Linked DNA regions of Arabidopsis thaliana. The protein of the gene in region 2 interacts with the protein of the main gene of each other region in a pairwise test. Each region holds a gene or a part of one and is shown on either strand. Other genes may lie near its edges. The genes, in order: TIFY8, RR14 and UBA1A.

Region 1 (5,680 bases), on a different chromosome or scaffold from region 2:
AATTTATATCTTCGACTTATCTTTAAATTATAAATTGAAAAGACGTTAAGTGGGCCTTTTAGTGCTAATTTTTTCAAGCCCATTTAACTTATTTGAGTCTTGGAATATTTCACTTGGAAAACAATGCGCTAATTCCATCTCCTATAATTTCCCTGTATATATTTTGAGAAGATGGATGGATTGAGCAATTTTAAAGACAAATATTTATGTAACTAAAAAATTATTCTTAACTTTCTGATGATTTATGTCTGAGGGAAGCATCTAGTATGCATTGTTTCTGTTTCATGTGAGATAAGCAAGAAAAGTAAGTGGGAAACAAGAAAGCAGAACAGTGAGATTACCAATTGTGCAAACAATCATATCATATAGTATACTTTGTTCGCCATCTTACTGTCACTTAAACAACAAAATTCACTATCATCGTTTAGCGGATTATTTTCAACTATATAACCCAGTAAAAGATAGTTTACTTGTCATGTGGTATATTTGACAGTTATCAAACTTTTGAGAGTTTGTGACACGTACGATACAGACACAAAATCAAATCTCCCTCTCCGACCATTTTTTTTTCTTAGTTACATAAATCTCTTTTCCTTCTCCAGCAACAGAAGAATTCTGCTCGATAATAGATTGGTAATCACAAAAAGAAAAGAAAAAGTGTTGGAGATCCTTCCGAGAGAGACGCGACATCTCCTTCCTCTTCGAAGATGAGTGGTACTGTGAAGGATATCGTTTCAAAGGAGGAGCTTGATAACTTGCGCCACAGCGGAGCACCACTCGTGCTTCACTTCTGGGCTTCTTGGTGTGACGCTTCGAAGCAGATGGATCAAGTTTTCTCTCATCTCGCTACTGATTTCCCTCGTGCTCACTTCTTTAGGGTTCGTCGTCTCTGTTCGAATTTTATCTCTTTCAATTGGTTTTTGACTTTGATTGGTTTTATTTATCTTCTTAGGTAGAAGCTGAGGAACATCCTGAGATATCTGAGGCTTATTCTGTTGCTCTTGTGCCGTATTTCGTCTTCTTCAAGGTAAACTTTAGGCATATTGATTCTTTGTTTGGTTGCAATTTTTTGGCTTATTGACAAAGCTTGAATCTTTGTCACTGCACTGAATCCTTTTCTTATTGAAGGATGGCAAAACTGTGGATACACTTGAAGGGGCAGATCCATCAAGTTTAGCTAATAAAGTTGGCAAAGTTGCTGGTTCTATTACTCCTGCAAGCTTAGGGTTGGCTGCAGGGCCAACGATTCTTGAAACTGTTAAGAAGAATGCGAAAGCTTCTGGACAAGACCGAGCTCAGCCTGTATCTACCGCTGATGCTCTCAAGAATCGTTTGGAAAAACTCACCCTGTTATGTTATTCATGAATGGTACTCCTGAAGAGCCTCGATTTTTAATATCTATTGAGTACTTTCTTTATAGTTGGAATTCTTGTGGATATATATCAGGTAGCTACTTGGAGCAAACATGTTGCTAAAGTTGACCTGCTACTGTTGTTTGAAGAACACGTGCTATGTCTTGTCGTTGAAGGAATTATGTTCATATGGGAAGAACATAAGCCTACTGGAAAGTTTACCCCTAGCTCTATTGTTAACCCAGATACTTGAGCCTCCATATCACAAACATCTAGTTAAGGTTTGTGTAGTAAGAACAAGAAAAACAACACGTGTTCCCAATTCCCATATAAATGACCATTATACTTCTATCAACCCAATTAATCACAGTCCGGAGACTAGTTGATTAAAAAATCAGCTAATACTAATTTGGTGGTTTCAATAAACATCTTAAATACTCCATAATTAAACTAGATTAAAGTGGGAAAAATCGTCATGAGTAGTTGTAAAATCGATTTCATTTAAGAGTATAGAAATTCGTCATGAGTGGTTGGTTCATGAGTTCTCTCTCTTACTCATATTAGAGTAAGAAATCAAACACTTATAATCATTCAAAATTCAACAACTCTCATCTCAAAACCATATATTTAGGTAAAGTTATATGCATACATTTTGCATTTTAATTTTAAAACAGATTATTTGGCGCGTAATGATAAAATTATGTGTATAAAAATTATTTAACTAATCGATCTAACAACCACATATGAGTAAAGTAGTTAACATTGTACTACTACACCAAATTATAGTGTGTTGGTTAGATTAGATACACAAACTCACTTTCTCAAATCAATAACATTATGAATCTATGATAACCTTAATTTAAAAAGAGTCTATAATGCCATGATTTTACAATCGTACTTTTTTCTTTTGGGCTGAACTTTTAATCATATATTATTTGAAAGATGTGATTATTATAATATTAAAGGGAATTAAAATCATGTAAGAGAAACCCAATAAAGTAGCTTGAAGAAGAAAAAGACAAGCTTTATTATACACTTACCCAGAAAAACAAAAAACAAAAAACTGATAATATCTCTCTCTCTCTCTCTCGTTGAGTGTGTCCATGAAATAATACTCTGCCAGAGACAGAGAGAAAGACTGTAACGGAGGATGTGGTGGCGAAGTGGCCACACTGACACACTGGTTTCATGATGGTGAACCACAACAATGGCCAGCGACCCACTGATATTGATTCTCGTCTCCGACAGACAGAACAAGATAAGCTCTTGTTCCATGACTTTTTAGGCTCCAAGAATCCTACTTTAGCATCCACTTCCATGGCTGACCATAGGCTACCACCGGATAATAAGGCGGCTAAAGCGGCGATGACTCCTTCCACGGCTTCTGCTTCCTCCGCCGGTGGACTCGGCGGTCTCTCCTCAACCTCCGATCTCGGTTCTGCTCTGTCTCTCTATCTCTCTCTCCTGATGTTTTTGTTGTTGTTGACGTAGTGTGCTTACGCTGATGAGGTTTTGAGCTGATTCCTCTGTACATTTAGGGTTTCTATCTATAGAAAGTTCAACTTTTGTTACATAGATTCGATTTAAAGTTGGATTCTTTCTTTTCCCCCTAGTCTGGATTAACGATCGAGCTTTGATTCACCATGATTTGAAAATGTAAGAGATCATGTGAGTTAGTTTCAAATTTTTTAGTCAATTCATTTATGATTAGATCTCTTAAGTTGAAAATGGAACATCTTTGGGTTCATAAGGTTGAACAAAATGTGAATGTACATTGTCTTGTTTCATTTCTTGCCTCATTGCTTTTTTAGTTCGACAATTTAAGAAACATGAACATGGATTGTGTGTGGGCATGTGGTTGCTTGACCTCTTGTAGTGTTAAGGACTCTCCCTCTCTCTCTCTCTCTCTCTCTCTCTCTGCCCAACCATAATGCCCTCTGGTGGATTAGTTGGGACATTGAGAGTGAATTTGACTGATGAGTTTGGTGGGTCATAGCCATTTGAGGTTGTGATCCTTTTTTATATGAATTGGCCCTTCTTTATTGCCTCTCGTTTTCTCTCTCTATCTCCTTGAGTTCCCTCCCACAACAATCTTTAAGTTACTTATCCATATTTTATCATTGTTTAGTCGAAAGACACAGCGGCGGTGGGAATCATCTTGATGGGATACAATTGTTTGGACCAAGAAGTGATGTTTCTGGCTCAATCATGAGCAATCGGTTTTCAGGAAATAAGAGAAGTAACTCTGATTCTCACTTCACGACTCAGGAGCACCCAGAGACTCTGCATTGGTCCAAGGTAACTAAAAAAAAAACAGAACCTACACAACTTCACCATGGTCACAGCTACGTAGAACTCAGTTTCTGTAATATGTCATTGTCATAACCTAGTTGCTTAGAAACGGACCTGGAAGCTTCTCCATGAATGTGAATCCTTTGGCAAACCAGCCTCCACGCGGAGGAGGACAGATCAGTCATTTGCTTCATCAGCTGTCTACTAGCAGGTTCAAAGATGAGAACGTAGGCCCATCAGTTATTGCTCAGACAGCTGCTGATGAAGGTTCACGAACAGGGATGAAAGGTCCCGGTATCTTGAGTTCTTTTACAATGCCAAACTCAAGCAAGCTCGAAAGTTTTGCCCCTTCAAAGTCAGTTAGCTTCTAGTGTTTTGTGTCTCTGGTCTTTCGATACTCTTCGAGTCATTTCAATACACTTTGTATTTGCAGTACCGGAAATCGGAAAGACTTGGCGTCGAGTACTAAGCAAATGACCATCTTCTATGGCGGTCAAGCTCATGTCTTTGATGACGTTCACCCAAACAAGGTGATTCTCCCTAACACTTATACACTTGATATTCAAGTTATTTGACTACATTTTGATATCTAAAAAGGTAGAGAATTGAGAAGTTCATCTGATGAATGTTATTTTTTTGCAGGCGGATGTGATAATGGCCTTGGCAGGATCAAGCGGAGGCTCATGGTCTACGGGTTTGTCTCATAAACCGAAGTCGAAGAACAACACAAGTGACGGTCCATACAAGCTAGGCCAAATGTATGAAGGAGGCAGCTCTAAGGAAACACCACAAATGCCCCCGGAATTTCGTGCAAGGCCGAGTCATCAACCTACCTCCAGTGCCTGTCACCGGATCTTTACACAACCAGGTGACTTCTTTTTAAAGAAAACCAGATTTCAGCAGAAATTTTGGTTAGCTTCTTACAAATACTGAGTGGAGTAGAGTAATCAGGTCTTATTTTGCATTGTGACATAATAAAATGAGGATACAACAGTAAAGAGTTATCAACTGTTCTGGGTTTTATCAACTTGAATCTGTTTGAGGAGCCATAAAACCATGTACATGTATGATTTGCAGGTAGAGAGCATCAAGGAAGCATCATCTCAAGGGGACGAGATATCAGAGATCCGGTTCACAGATCAGATCCTGAAAAAGAAGCCACATGATTAAAGTCTGAATATGAGAGACGATGAGTGTGGCTGTTCTTCTAAGTTGTTGTTTTTTTTGTTTTTTTTTTGTTTTTGGTCAACTTCTTCTAAGTTGTTATTTGTTGACTTGATAGCTTTGTACAATGCTCTGTACCTTTCTAGGTTTGTATTCAAACTCATCTCCTCAATGATTTAGAGAATAATATTTTCTCATAGCTCATATATAAACATATTGGTCAACCAAACCTACTATTTCTAGGCCTATCGATTTTCGTATATTTCCATGTAAGGCTGAGCATATGGATACATCACATCACAAGAGAATCATATCTAAATCAACTCTGGCTCTACTCTGGTTAGCTGTAACTCGAAAGGAGAGTCACTTCATATCACCTTATTCAAACCCTTCTTCGAGTCAGAGGTGTTCGTTCATGGCAGATATATGACTTCTCAGCCTCTCATTCTTAGTACATTCCTCCTGCCATTGAGAAATTTAGCACTACGTAAGTAGATGACTCTCGGGCTTTTCAGTATAAACACTTATTTCCTATCTTGTGCTAACCTGGTATGCTCTTAGTACAGTGTAGCATTTTCTTTGCTCTGCAGCTGCAGCTATATACTTTTCTTTTGAAGCATCACGGAGCCTCTGCTCTTCTTGAAGCCCAAGTTGTATTTTTCCAATCTTCTGCACTTTAAACATTTTGTTATGACAAATCATACAGCTATAGATAGGTAAGATGGGTTAGTTCATGCTTTGTGCCTCAAATACCTGATTCAATATAACTCAGATTACCTGTTGGATTCCTTTCATGACTCCTTCCATTGAATCAATAAGCTTCACACGGCCAGCAGGAGTACCAATCACGTCTTGAAACTACAATCAAGTCA
Region 2 (5,680 bases):
TTAAATTAGTCCTAGACTAATTTACCAAAACAAAAATAGTCCTAGATCATGCAACCATGTTACCATGATCATATACAATGCATGCATCCATATGTAATAAAAAAAAAATTCATATTTAGTTAGTCTCTTGAGTAATCATATTGTAAGAAAAGTAGTGAGTTATAACTATATGAGTTCAATGCAAGATTAAAAACTGGATAACAAATTTAGGTATTTAGCGGCAAAGAGCGAAGAAGATCATTACGCGAGGGAGATGAAACGAGAACAAGAAGAGATCGTGGCCGTTCCTGAAACTGGTAAGACCAAATTACACTCAATCTAAGCCATCCATATATAAGAAAATTATCCGGTTTAACACATTTTAATTACGATATGGATTTAAAACAGAGGCAGCTGAAGTGGCAGAGATTCTGGCACAGTACGGGATAGAGCCACATGAATATTCACCTGTAGTTAATGCTCTTCGTAAGAATCCTCAAGCTTGGCTTGATTTTATGATGAGGTTAGTCTCACTAATGAAAATTAGTGTTATTTTATGTATACTATATAGTCCATTAGTATTATTTTATGTATATTATATAGTCTTAATTAAAGAGAAAATCGAGGGATACTTTTAGATTTCTGCAAAAGCTGAGCTTATACTTTCCAGGTGTGGGCAAGATTCTTATATGGTCCGACTTCCAATTTTAATCTTTTTTGTTGCAACAAATAAAGTACGTGAATAGTAACAAACAGAAAACAACAAATTACGTGAATATAAAAACTTATCTTATTGATTTGGTTAAGTTTAACACTCTTTACCTATCACAAAATGTTTATATTCCTACTATAAGCATGTAACTTGTTATATAAGTGAGACTTTATTGTTTCGTTACAGGTTTGAGCTGGGATTAGAGAAGCCTGATCCAAAAAGAGCGTTACAAAGCGCGTTCACGATTGCAATCGCTTATGTTCTTGGCGGTTTTATACCGTTACTTCCCTACATGCTCATACCGCATGCCATGGATGCGGTAGTGGCGTCTGTGGTTATAACTCTGTTTGCGCTCTTCATATTTGGCTATGCAAAAGGGCATTTCACTGGAAGCAAGCCCCTCAGAAGTGCGTTTGAAACCGCCTTTATAGGAGCGATTGCTTCAGCTGCTGCTTTTTGTTTGGCTAAAGTTGTGCAACATTAGCAGTAACAAAACTAGTGTTGCGTTTGATGTTTTGTGTACTTTGAGACTTGTTTGTTGCATGTCTTGTGGTTATTATCAGGCTAAAACTTTTGGCAACCATAATAAAGTGAGAGATAACAATTCAAAATATTGGTTACATAATTACTTTCCTAAGCTAACATTGCAGACACACAAGTTTTCTTCTGACATTAATCCATTCCTGAAGATTTAAAAGAAACAGTTGCAGAGCCTTCTCTTCTTAAGCGTATCCATATTGGTCACTATCTTTGTCTTGAAGATCTTTCCAAGATCCAAGATTCTTCATTGACATTTGATCCATACCCTTGTCTGATTCTGTTGTTGTTAACGTCACCTCTCTGTCTGAAATTTGCTGAGGAAGATAGACCATGAACCGCCACAGAAACAGGACGGTTAGAAGCGGATGATACATCAACCGAGAAGTGTTCATTTTGAGATCTACCAAGATTGTCATTAGGAATCCAAACTCCAAAACTAGCAGAGTGATGATTGTCTATTGGTTGACCAAACAATGCAGCTAATGTCTGTGGATGTAATTGTCCTGAGGAAACCAGAGCTTGAATGTTTTCATATCTTTTGGTAGACTCAGAGTCATTACTCTGCGAAGCTTCACCGCTTAATCTCTTCAAATACAATCGGAACTTCTGCAAATGGTATTGATTCAGTCATAACCCTTATAGAGACCCTAATAAGAAGAAAGATTCAATCAATCAATCAAAGAAACCTGTAAATGACTAGCCACGTTTTCTCTGCTTAAACCAGGAACATTCATCAACTCGAGAATCCGCTTTGGTACAGCTTCTGAAACAATAAGAGAGATTCTTATAAGCACAAATTACTTTGAATTTCTTCTACAAGCAATAAGATAGTGTTTAGGATCATACTGTCAATTCCAAGTTTGTTTACGGCATTAACGAATTGTTGATGCAATTCAATAGACCAAACAACGCGTGACTTCTTCGAGTTTCCAGGATCAAGAAGAAGATCATCTTCATTATCATCTCTATCAACACTTCTCTTCTTCTTCTTCTTCTTATTCCTACATTTCATCAAACTTTCCTCTGAGCATTCACTAACCGAAACAACAACAGTCTCGAGGCTACCACTGTTCTTGTTATCCTCTAAAGCTTGAGAACTTCGAAGCTCTTTCTTCATCACACATTTCCTTCTAACAACATGTTGCCAAATGTTCTTAAGCTCTTCAGGACGAATAGGTTTGATTAGATAATCACAAGCTCCATGGTTGATTCCAGTCATGACTGTAGTTGTTCTTCCATCAACAGACATCACTAGAAACAGAGCAAATGTAAGAAACATTGATGCAAAGATTCAATCTTTAGAGACAAAACATAACAACAGAGTCTTACTAATGACAGGAAGATCCATTTCAAGAAGACCAACTTGTTGAAGAAGATTGTAACCATTCATACCAGGCATATGAACATCACTTAGCACCAAATCAAAACTGTCTTTTCTTTCTCTTAGAATGGTTAACGCAACATCAGCTTGTGAGCAAATTGTAACTACAAAGAGAAGATAAAACAAAAATGTTAAAACTTTCTTGAGAAAATCTATTAAAAGGTGGGAACTTTGATAAAGAATTAGACCTTGGTACATGAGACGGAGAAGCATTTTCTCGAGAATGAACAAGCATGAAGTATCATCGTCTACAACGAGTATTCTTAACCCACTAGGAAACTGATCGTTGATCGGCATTAAGCTTTGGTGTGAGTATTGAAAACCCTAGAGAACTGAGAAAGAGATTTTGGTTGGAGAAGAAAGAAGAAGAAATGATTGAAGACGTACAGTGTTGAGTAAGTAGCCACTGGTTTGAAGAGAGAGGCAACGAAAGCGACTGGTAATAGCTGTAGTGGCACTCTGTTGTAATTAATCCAATTGGTACTACCCTTATTTGTAAACATACACGAGTCCTTTAAAATCTTATCTATAGACAAAGTCACGGTCCTCATGCACTACAATATCAGAATGCTTATCACGCCGGCGAATTTATCCGGTGGCATAGCCGGATTATTCGTTTTCGGACAGAAAGATCAAATGACTAAAATACCCTCGCTCACAAACTCGTATAACTACCGGAAAAAACTTTTCACCGTCCCTCCAGTGGCGGAGAGAAGAAGAGCTTTGAAGATGTTCTGGTGCGGTGCTCGGAGAAGGGTGAGAGACGAGGGAGGTGGTGAAGATGAAGATGAAATGTATGGATACAACGAGGAAATGGCGATGTTGGAGATATATAGCCAGTCGTGTAGAGAAGAAGCGCTTATAGTGACGGCCATTGTCGACGATGAAGAAGTGGAAGTTGTAATCTTTAAAGGAGTGTCGTCGTGCTTGAGCGGAGAAACGGCGGTGGATCCGGCGAGGAGTGTGTTGCCGGAGAGAGCAGTCATTACAAAGATTGATAGAGTGAGAGGTCCTTTTGATCCTTCACAGATTCATTATATTCAAAGGGACATCTCTTTTCAAGCCTTCAAGGAGACCAGACTCAACTAATGTTAGTGAATGTTGTGTCTGGATCAATGAAACTAATGACAATTTCAATTTTTTCACTAATAACTCTCACCTCTGTTTCTGAACTAATTTCTTAAATCTATAACATACCCCAAAATGAGAAAAATGGACAAAGGTAAGATAGAGAGAGATACAATAAATCACACACTAAGCTCAAGTTAGTAGTTAAAACACAAACCTAACTCTTTTCTATATATGAGGAAAACAATAAACATCAGCCAAGAAATTAAAAATCAGTTTTTAACTTTGAAATCTTACTATGTTAAGAAGCACACAAACCTCCCATATTGGATTTCTATATTTGTATGCTTTTTGTCATTCCTTCAATCTATTAACCACTGAATTGAGATTCATATTTTGCTCGTGGAATCGACTTCTTTGATCACTGCGTGCTCCTCGTCATCCCCATTCGTCCTGAGCCTCTGCTAAAACAACAATGCAAAGCAAACGTTCAAGTGTTAAAGAAAACTAACCTAACCAACTTATAATCGTTACATTGGGTCATTATAATAAGAAAACATCAGGTACCTTCCAGAAAGTAACTGTGCAGTTGTTGAAGCTCCTTTTGAGTTAGTAGAGTGACGTCTCGTTCTACTATCTGATCCTTTGTTATCCACACGCATAGCTGAAACCTCTTTCTCCATTGCTGCTACTTCTCTTCGCATCTTCTTTGCTTCCACTTCCATCGCCTTTGTTAGTGTTTCAACCTTCTTGGCCAACATCTAAAAGCAAACACAAGCCCAAGTATTTTGATCAGAGAATATAAATAAATATAAGCAAACGTTTCTTGGAAAGGTGTAAAACTAATGACTAACCTCAATAGCTTCGTCTTTATCTCTAAGGCTTTGATCTTTATCATTAGCAGCTTTCCTTAAAGTTATCACCTCCTTTTGAAGCAAATCATGTAATACTCCTGGGACACTATCATTATTTGTCCCTGCTGCTTTCTCTGAATCTCCTTGTTTTGTTGAATTAGGTGACCCGCCTCCGCTTGTTCCTTCAGAAGATTGGTTCAATGGAAACTTCGATCTGGGTTCGTTTGTTAGTACTTTACTCCTATCTAAAGATCTACTGCCTCCGTCAAATGATCTGGATGTTCCTTTCGCATGCTTCAATATTGTGCTTGTACTAGCATTCAAAGATCTAAACTGAGAACTTGGTGACCTCTTGGAGAAAAATCCATTTGATGTCAGTTTCGGAATAATATCAGCTCCGCCAAGGGATTGTCTTCGAGAAGGCCCGTTGCTCATACTTCTTCCCTCAGGTGTCGATCGGTTTCCACTGCTTGAAGGCCCTCTTAAACTCTCTTCTAAGACTCTAAGCCGCAGTTGAAATTTCTCCTGCAAAAGGCAAAAGCAGCAATTCTAATTAAAGCCTTGATACATAAGGACATAAAGAAGACTAAAGCTATATGGATCTGAACTCCGAATTCTTACCTTTAGCTGAGCTTCAGATTTTGCAGCTCGATCAGCTATGGCAAGTTTGTCACGTAGTTGTTGCATTTCTCCCTGTCCAAAAAGAAACAGGAAAATGGTTAAAGAATGCACTTACTCAAGTTACAATGGTTCCTGTGAATATGAATCACAACTCGAAGCAGTAACAGAAGCCCAAAAATAAAATATCAAAAGTAACCTGCAGAAATCTTCGTTCTTCGAGCCATTGCTTCACAGGCATCACTTTATCGCTACCATCTTTCCACTCATTTGCCACTACAGTTGCAACCCTGCTTGCACTTACTTTGGCACGAGCCAGTTCCCGATCAAGGATTCTCCTCTCTTCCTAATGAAAGGATTAATGGCCATAGCTATGATTAGCACAGGAATTGAATTTTAAGTACAAGGGTAGCAATAGGCTAATGAGGCACTAAACGTGTAATTTAATTATTACATTCATTTCTTGAAATTTCCTCTGGTAATCTCTCACTGCATTTGCAGCTGTACCACCAGCAAGAACAGCTTCTT
Region 3 (5,680 bases), 9.1 Mb from region 2:
TGATCCGATTTCGTTAGTTTAGCATTTATCGGTAGGTTTTTGTTGCCGTTAAACAAGTATGTGAATTGACCCGTCACTCACCGGTTCTTCGCCGGCACACAAAAACCAGAAATGTTGTATCTTTTTCCTTTTCTGTATTTTGACGTTTTTGCCCCTCTACTAATTCATGTTAAAAAAAAAAATTATGTGTTGCAAAAAAAAAAGCATGTCTGAGCCCGGGTTCGAACCGGGGACCTCTAGTGTGTGAGACTAGCGTGATAACCGACTACACCACCCAGACGTTTTTGTTAGACTCTTTACTTTATTATAAATATACTTAAATAATCTAGTGTTCTCTGGTGCACCCTATTTTAGAGGAGTTACTCTATTCAGAGTGTTTTTTTTGGTAGCCACTGCCGTCAACAATGGCGAAAGAAGGAGAAGAACGTAAGAAGGAGAAGAAAGAGAAGAAGGAGAGGAAGGAGAGGAAGCGTCGCGAAGCTGAAGAACTCGCTGTAAGAGAGAAGAAAATCTCAAAAAAACATAAATCGAAATCCAAAGAGGAAGAGAAACCAGAGAAATCAAAGAAGAAATCGAAGAAATACGAAGAAGTAGAAGAAGAGGAGAAATCTCCATCTCCATCTCCATCTCCTAAGAAATCGAAGGAGAGTAAGAAGAAACATAAGAGATCATCAGATGAATCCGAAGAGATCGTCGATTCAAAGCCTGTTACGGTCCCGATTGTTACCATTGAGTCTGATTCTGATTTCGAATTCGATAAGGAAGATATTAAGAATCTACTTGAATCTTACTCTAAAGAGGAGCTTATTAACCTAATTTACAAAACTGCTGAGAAAGGTTCTAAATTGATCTCAGCAGTGTTTGAATCAGCGGATAGAGATAGTTCTCAACGGAACATATTCGTGCGTGGTCTTGGATGGGATACAACGCATGAGAATCTCAAGGCGGCTTTTGAGGTTTATGGGGAGATAACGGAATGTTCTGTGGTTATGGATAAAGATACAGGAAGAGCTAAAGGTTTTGGCTTTGTGTTGTTTAAGACGCGTAAAGGAGCGAGAGCGGCGTTGAAGAATCCGGAGAAGAGAATGTATAATCGAACTGTTAGTTGTTTACCAGCTAGGCCGTTTAATTCTGGAAAGCCACGAGAACAACAACAACCGGTTGAGTCTGTGAAGATTGATTTGAGTCATACGGGTAATCAGAGTGAAATGGCTTTGCCTGGGATTGATTTGGGTCATGGACTTGATAAGGGACATCAGCAGCAGCAGAATATGTCAATGTATGCTGGACAGAACATGCCCTTTTATGGACATTCTCAGCCTCCTCCTGGTTTTAATCCTATGTATGGTGCAATGATGGGTAATCCGATGGTTGCTGGTTTACAGAATTATCGTATGTTTGGCTCGGGTATGATGAATCAAGGACCTATGATGCCACCGAATCATATGGGAATGGTGGGACAATATGTTGGTGATGGTAATGTTAACGGTGTTGGTGCGGGTGCTGGTGCTGGTGCTGGTTTTGATGGTGAACGTGCTTGGTATCTGAGATAAGAGAACCCAAGTGGTATGACCATGTTCTCTGATATTTCAAGTTATAGATTAGGCTAATGATTAGTCCGGTATCTTCGACTCCAACTTGATATTTTGGGAATTGCAGGAGTTTTTTTTGCGGATCTTTATTTTCTATGCCTGATGTTTCAAACCTACTTTTTTAGTTTCATTATTTATAGTCTCTTTTAACGAGGTATCTACCCCTATATGAGCCATTTTGAGGGAGATGTGTGCTCAAAGGATGAATTTTCTGTTGCTCTCTGGAAGTCTGTCATTGGTGTTCTGCTCTGTTCTCATAAACCAGTGAAATGTGGTCATTTTGTCTAGAAGATTTAGTTACTAGGATCAATATTGGTTTAAAGTAGTTTGCTATCTCTTTGTTTTCCCTTTTGGAGTCCCCCATTATGGTCTTCTGTCTTCTCCTTACCCATCAAACTCACGTCTGGTTTTCTTCTGTGGCATGGCGTATGTTTTTCTCTTTTGTTTTTCCTTGTTTTTGGTTTTATGTTTTCCCGCATTTTCATTGAATATCTGTTCGCTATAGCTGGAGAAGAAGCTTATGACATTTATAGTTTTGTCCACTATATGTCATAACTGCCAAAAGTCTGTATCTTCCAGCTGCAGTTGTCTTGAGACCCGTTTGTAGGATCAGACATAATGGTTTTACATTCTTGTTTTAAATCTGTCTTTTTGAGTACTGGAAAAAGTTTTGGGACTCTTTCAAAAGCTTCAAGTTGATTTTCTCTGGAATAAACAACCTGAGTTTTCTTTCCTTCAAGCATTGTTTTCTTCCCCATAGGTTTTTATAAGCTTCTCAATCTCTTTCATCACATTCCTCTTTTATGGTAGTGTCGCCCCTTTCTCTTTTGTATTTAAGAGTCCATTTTGATATCAGTTGCCAAGTTTTCTTGCCTAAGTTCAAGATTGTTTTTGGTCATCGGTACTTGGACCCAATTTGTTTTTCACCTTACATAGCTTTGTTCTGGATTTACCTTTTTTTTACCTGCTCGTTATTCATATTCTATATAACTCTGGTTATGGTAGCAAAGCATACTTGTTTTTTTTTTTTTTTTCTTTGGATTTTCACAATGACCTCACAGTGACCGATGATGCGAATGCTTGTTTTCTTAAGAGGATCAATCTTGTTTTCAGTTTTTCGATTTCTTAAGAGGATCAATCTTGTTTCTCGGTTTTTGGTCTTCTCTGCAGCTATCCATCCATCCATATGAATCAACTCGTATTAATCTATAGTATGCTTCAGCTAAATCAACTTTGGTTTGGTTTTGGTCATTTGATTTCGTTGTTTTGTGATCATGATCTTATGAGGGCTTTGTTTTTCTTTCCAATGGGGAAACTCTGAAAATCTTAAGAACAAAAACAAAACCCTCTCTAAGATCTCGGTGACTATTTTTTTAGTTTCTCATAACACATAAAGATAAAAAAGAAAGAAAAAAAAGTTTCAACTGGTGAATGAATAAACAAGTAGCAGAGCGACACCACCAATATGGCTAAAACCTCTGCCTAGCCAGGAATCTTTTCTGACGGCGCTCTAAAAGAAAAGTACCACAAAGTTCACACCCCGTAAAGTTAGGGAGCTTATGGTATTCCGGTTGATGTATAGCCATCATAACTTAAAGCCAGCATCTTGCCATGTAACCTCTACAAAGATCTAAGGCCTTATCTTAAATATAAAGCAAATATTTAAAAATATGTAAAATAATAAAAATATTCAAAATAAACCAATCCAAAAATAATCTAAATATTTGAAAATATATTCAAAGCAAAATACTCGAATAAAAAAAAAATTAAACTGAAAAAATCGGAAAAACGACATCTCGAGGATAAAGTAAATCGAACTCTTGACCCGAGGGGAAACAGGAAACTGAAATCAAAAATCAAAAATCAAAATCCCTAAAAGCTTCTTGACTCGTTTATCCTCTACTACAATGGCGAAAACCCTAGACAAATCTAAGAAGCGCAAACTCGTGAAATCCAAATCCACGAATTTCGATAAGAAACAGAAGATTAACAAACAACAACAACAACCAGAATCCTCAACGCCATATTCAAGTTCAAGCTCCAGCTCTGATTCTAGCGATTCCGAATCAGACAACGAATTCGACCCAGAAGAGCTCCGTGAGCTTCTACAACCTTATTCCAAGGACCAGCTTGTCGATCTAGTTTGTTCCGCTTCTCGAATCGGATCTTCGATCTATTCCGCCGTCGTAGAAGCCGCAGATCGTGATGTTACACACAGGAAAATCTTCGTTTATGGTCTTCCATGGGAGACGACTCGCGAGACTCTTGTTGGAGTCTTTGAAGGTTATGGTGAGATTGAAGAGTGTACCGTTGTTATAGATAAGGCTACTGGTAAGGCTAAAGGGTTTGGATTTGTTATGTTCAAGACTAGGAAAGGAGCTAAAGAAGCTCTTAAAGAACCGAAGAAGAGGATTCTTAATAGAACTGCCACTTGCCAGCTTGCTTCTATGGGTCCTGCGGCTTCAGGAAAGGGGCATGATCAACCTGGTCCGGTGAAGATTAGTATGGGTTCGATGGCTAATCATGGACAGCCTCAGCAACAGCAGGTACAAGGTCAACATGTGTTTAACGGTGGTGGAATGGCTGCTTCGCCGTTTATGTTAGGGAACCAATACCATCCGCTTTATGGAGCTGGGATGTTGGGAAATCCAGCTTTAGCAGCAGCAGCAGCAGCTGGGGGAGGTTACATGTATCCGATGTTAGCGGGTGCTCTAGCACATGGCGGGTTGGGTTCTGATATGGTACAGTCTAGTCAAATGGGTGGGATTGGTGTTGATCCAAGCGTTGGTGCTGCTGGTCTTTCAGCTCTAGGTTCTTACTTTAGAGGTCAGAGTCTGCCTAGTACTTATCCTGATTCGGATGCTGGTGGAAAAAGAGGGACGGGTAAAGATTCGGATGCTGGTGGCTCCTCCTTTCATGGCTACTCAAACTATTCATGGTACGTTCACTGAAACCTTTGGTGTTTTGTAGCAATGTTTGTGCTAATATTGTGGTTTGAATGTCTTTGGATAAGCATAAATTCATTGTAGCTCCGTCATGTGTAGATAAATGGATTAAGGCTTTTGTGGTAGTACCGGAATTTTATCTGACATTATTATGCCTCTCTAGTCAAATAGTTGGCTTAAATGCCTAAATATGTATATTCCTAGGAGGAACTGCTACAGGAATTAAATACCTAAATTATGTTCTAGAGGTAGGTTAGCATTGTCATCGGTTGCCGTAATTCATTATTCATGAATCTTGCTTCGACTCTATTTCAAGTAGATGCAATGTGACCCACCATACTTTTGTTTTTTTTGTTTTCTCCATTATTTTTCCTTTTGTTGGTTTATGTTTTGTTTTCTTTTCTTTACTGTCCCTGGTTTTACAGTTTTCTCAAGTGCCATTTGTTTTATCGAAGTTAGTTTCTCTATAGGTTGGTGATGGTGGGGACGAATATTGTTACATTCTTTTTGTCTCTTGGCTTTTTTTGTTTTAGTGTTGCACTGGGTTTTATAAACTGAACGTCCACCATCTCTCCACTCATCTGGTTTTGGTGCTAACGTCTTTAAACGGACTGTAAACTATAGCATCTGTTCATGCTGTTGCACTCATGGTTTTAGACTTAAGTTTGAGTTTTAACATTTTTTTTATGTTTGTCCCTTTGATTTCTATTGTTTTCACTTTTCGGGGTTATCTTACCAGAAAGATAGAGCATTGCTCTTGTTTCCATATGTTTTTCTTTTTGTCTTCAGCTTTTGATAGAGTTATGTTTTGTTTTGTTTTCTTGAACTCCAACTTTTGCAGATGGTGTGGGCTGAGCATGAGAATGATAAACATGCAGTTTCTGGGGATTTCTTTTTAACATTTCTATCAAAGTCAGTACGTTTTAGTTTTTTTTTGTATTGTTTTTTCTTCCTTTCTTTTTTTTTCTGTTTGATGTCACTCTTGTCCGATATCATACGATAGACAGTCTGTGGCTCAAGTAATATCATTGTGATTATTCGTTAAAGACCTCTGTGCAATCTGTATTGTGACCTCTGGGGAAAAAGGTTTGCTCTATGAGGACTCAATAGGATTTAACTTTCTTTTAACTATTTATGACAGCT

The links.
Region 1: the proteins of RR14 (region 2) and TIFY8 interact in binary tests that used the Arabidopsis thaliana proteins (3 or more experiments, as listed by UniProt).
Region 3: the proteins of RR14 (region 2) and UBA1A interact in binary tests that used the Arabidopsis thaliana proteins (3 or more experiments, as listed by UniProt).

Annotation. Positions count from the first base shown.
Region 1 is NC_003075.7:15,715,563-15,721,242, reverse strand, and holds TIFY8 (TIFY domain protein 8), read left to right. Parts: upstream 1-2,375; 5' UTR 2,376-2,540; coding exon 2,541-2,787; intron 2,788-3,480; coding exon 3,481-3,650; intron 3,651-3,742; coding exon 3,743-3,999; intron 4,000-4,077; coding exon 4,078-4,174; intron 4,175-4,286; coding exon 4,287-4,512; coding exon of another isoform or gene 4,513-4,577; intron 4,578-4,583; exon of another isoform or gene 4,584-4,721; coding exon 4,722-4,810; 3' UTR 4,811-5,011; downstream 5,012-5,680. Other genes in the region: AT4G32580 (Thioredoxin superfamily protein), read left to right, coding at 708-878, 953-1,027, 1,129-1,365; AT4G32560 (paramyosin-like protein), read right to left, coding at 5,208-5,270, 5,355-5,477, 5,586-5,666. UniProt on the Arabidopsis thaliana protein: Repressor of jasmonate responses.
Region 2 is NC_003071.7:330,270-335,949, reverse strand, and holds RR14 (response regulator 14), read right to left. Parts: upstream 3,049-5,680; 5' UTR 2,910-3,048; coding exon 2,561-2,909; intron 2,483-2,560; coding exon 2,078-2,482; intron 1,995-2,077; coding exon 1,918-1,994; intron 1,838-1,917; coding exon 1,436-1,837; 3' UTR 1,254-1,435; downstream 1-1,253. Other genes in the region: VIT1 (vacuolar iron transporter 1), read left to right, coding at 211-296, 388-502, 878-1,175; AT2G01755 (uncharacterized protein), read left to right, coding at 3,162-3,701; MAP70-3 (microtubule-associated proteins 70-3), read right to left, coding at 4,102-4,144, 4,248-4,441, 4,535-5,059, 5,156-5,227, 5,352-5,498, 5,607-5,680. UniProt on the Arabidopsis thaliana protein: Transcriptional activator that binds specifically to the DNA sequence 5'-[AG]GATT-3'. Functions as a response regulator involved in His-to-Asp phosphorelay signal transduction system.
Region 3 is NC_003071.7:9,388,270-9,393,949, reverse strand, and holds UBA1A (RNA-binding (RRM/RBD/RNP motifs) family protein), read left to right. Parts: upstream 1-3,443; 5' UTR 3,444-3,499; coding exon 3,500-4,543; 3' UTR 4,544-4,900; downstream 4,901-5,680. Other genes in the region: AT2G22100 (RNA-binding (RRM/RBD/RNP motifs) family protein), read left to right, coding at 405-1,553; AT2G22088 (uncharacterized protein), read right to left, coding at 4,901-5,148, 5,410-5,566. UniProt on the Arabidopsis thaliana protein: Acts as a component of a complex regulating the turnover of mRNAs in the nucleus. Binds with high affinity to RNA molecules that contain U-rich sequences in 3'-UTRs. May function in complex with UBP1 and contribute to the stabilization of mRNAs in the nucleus.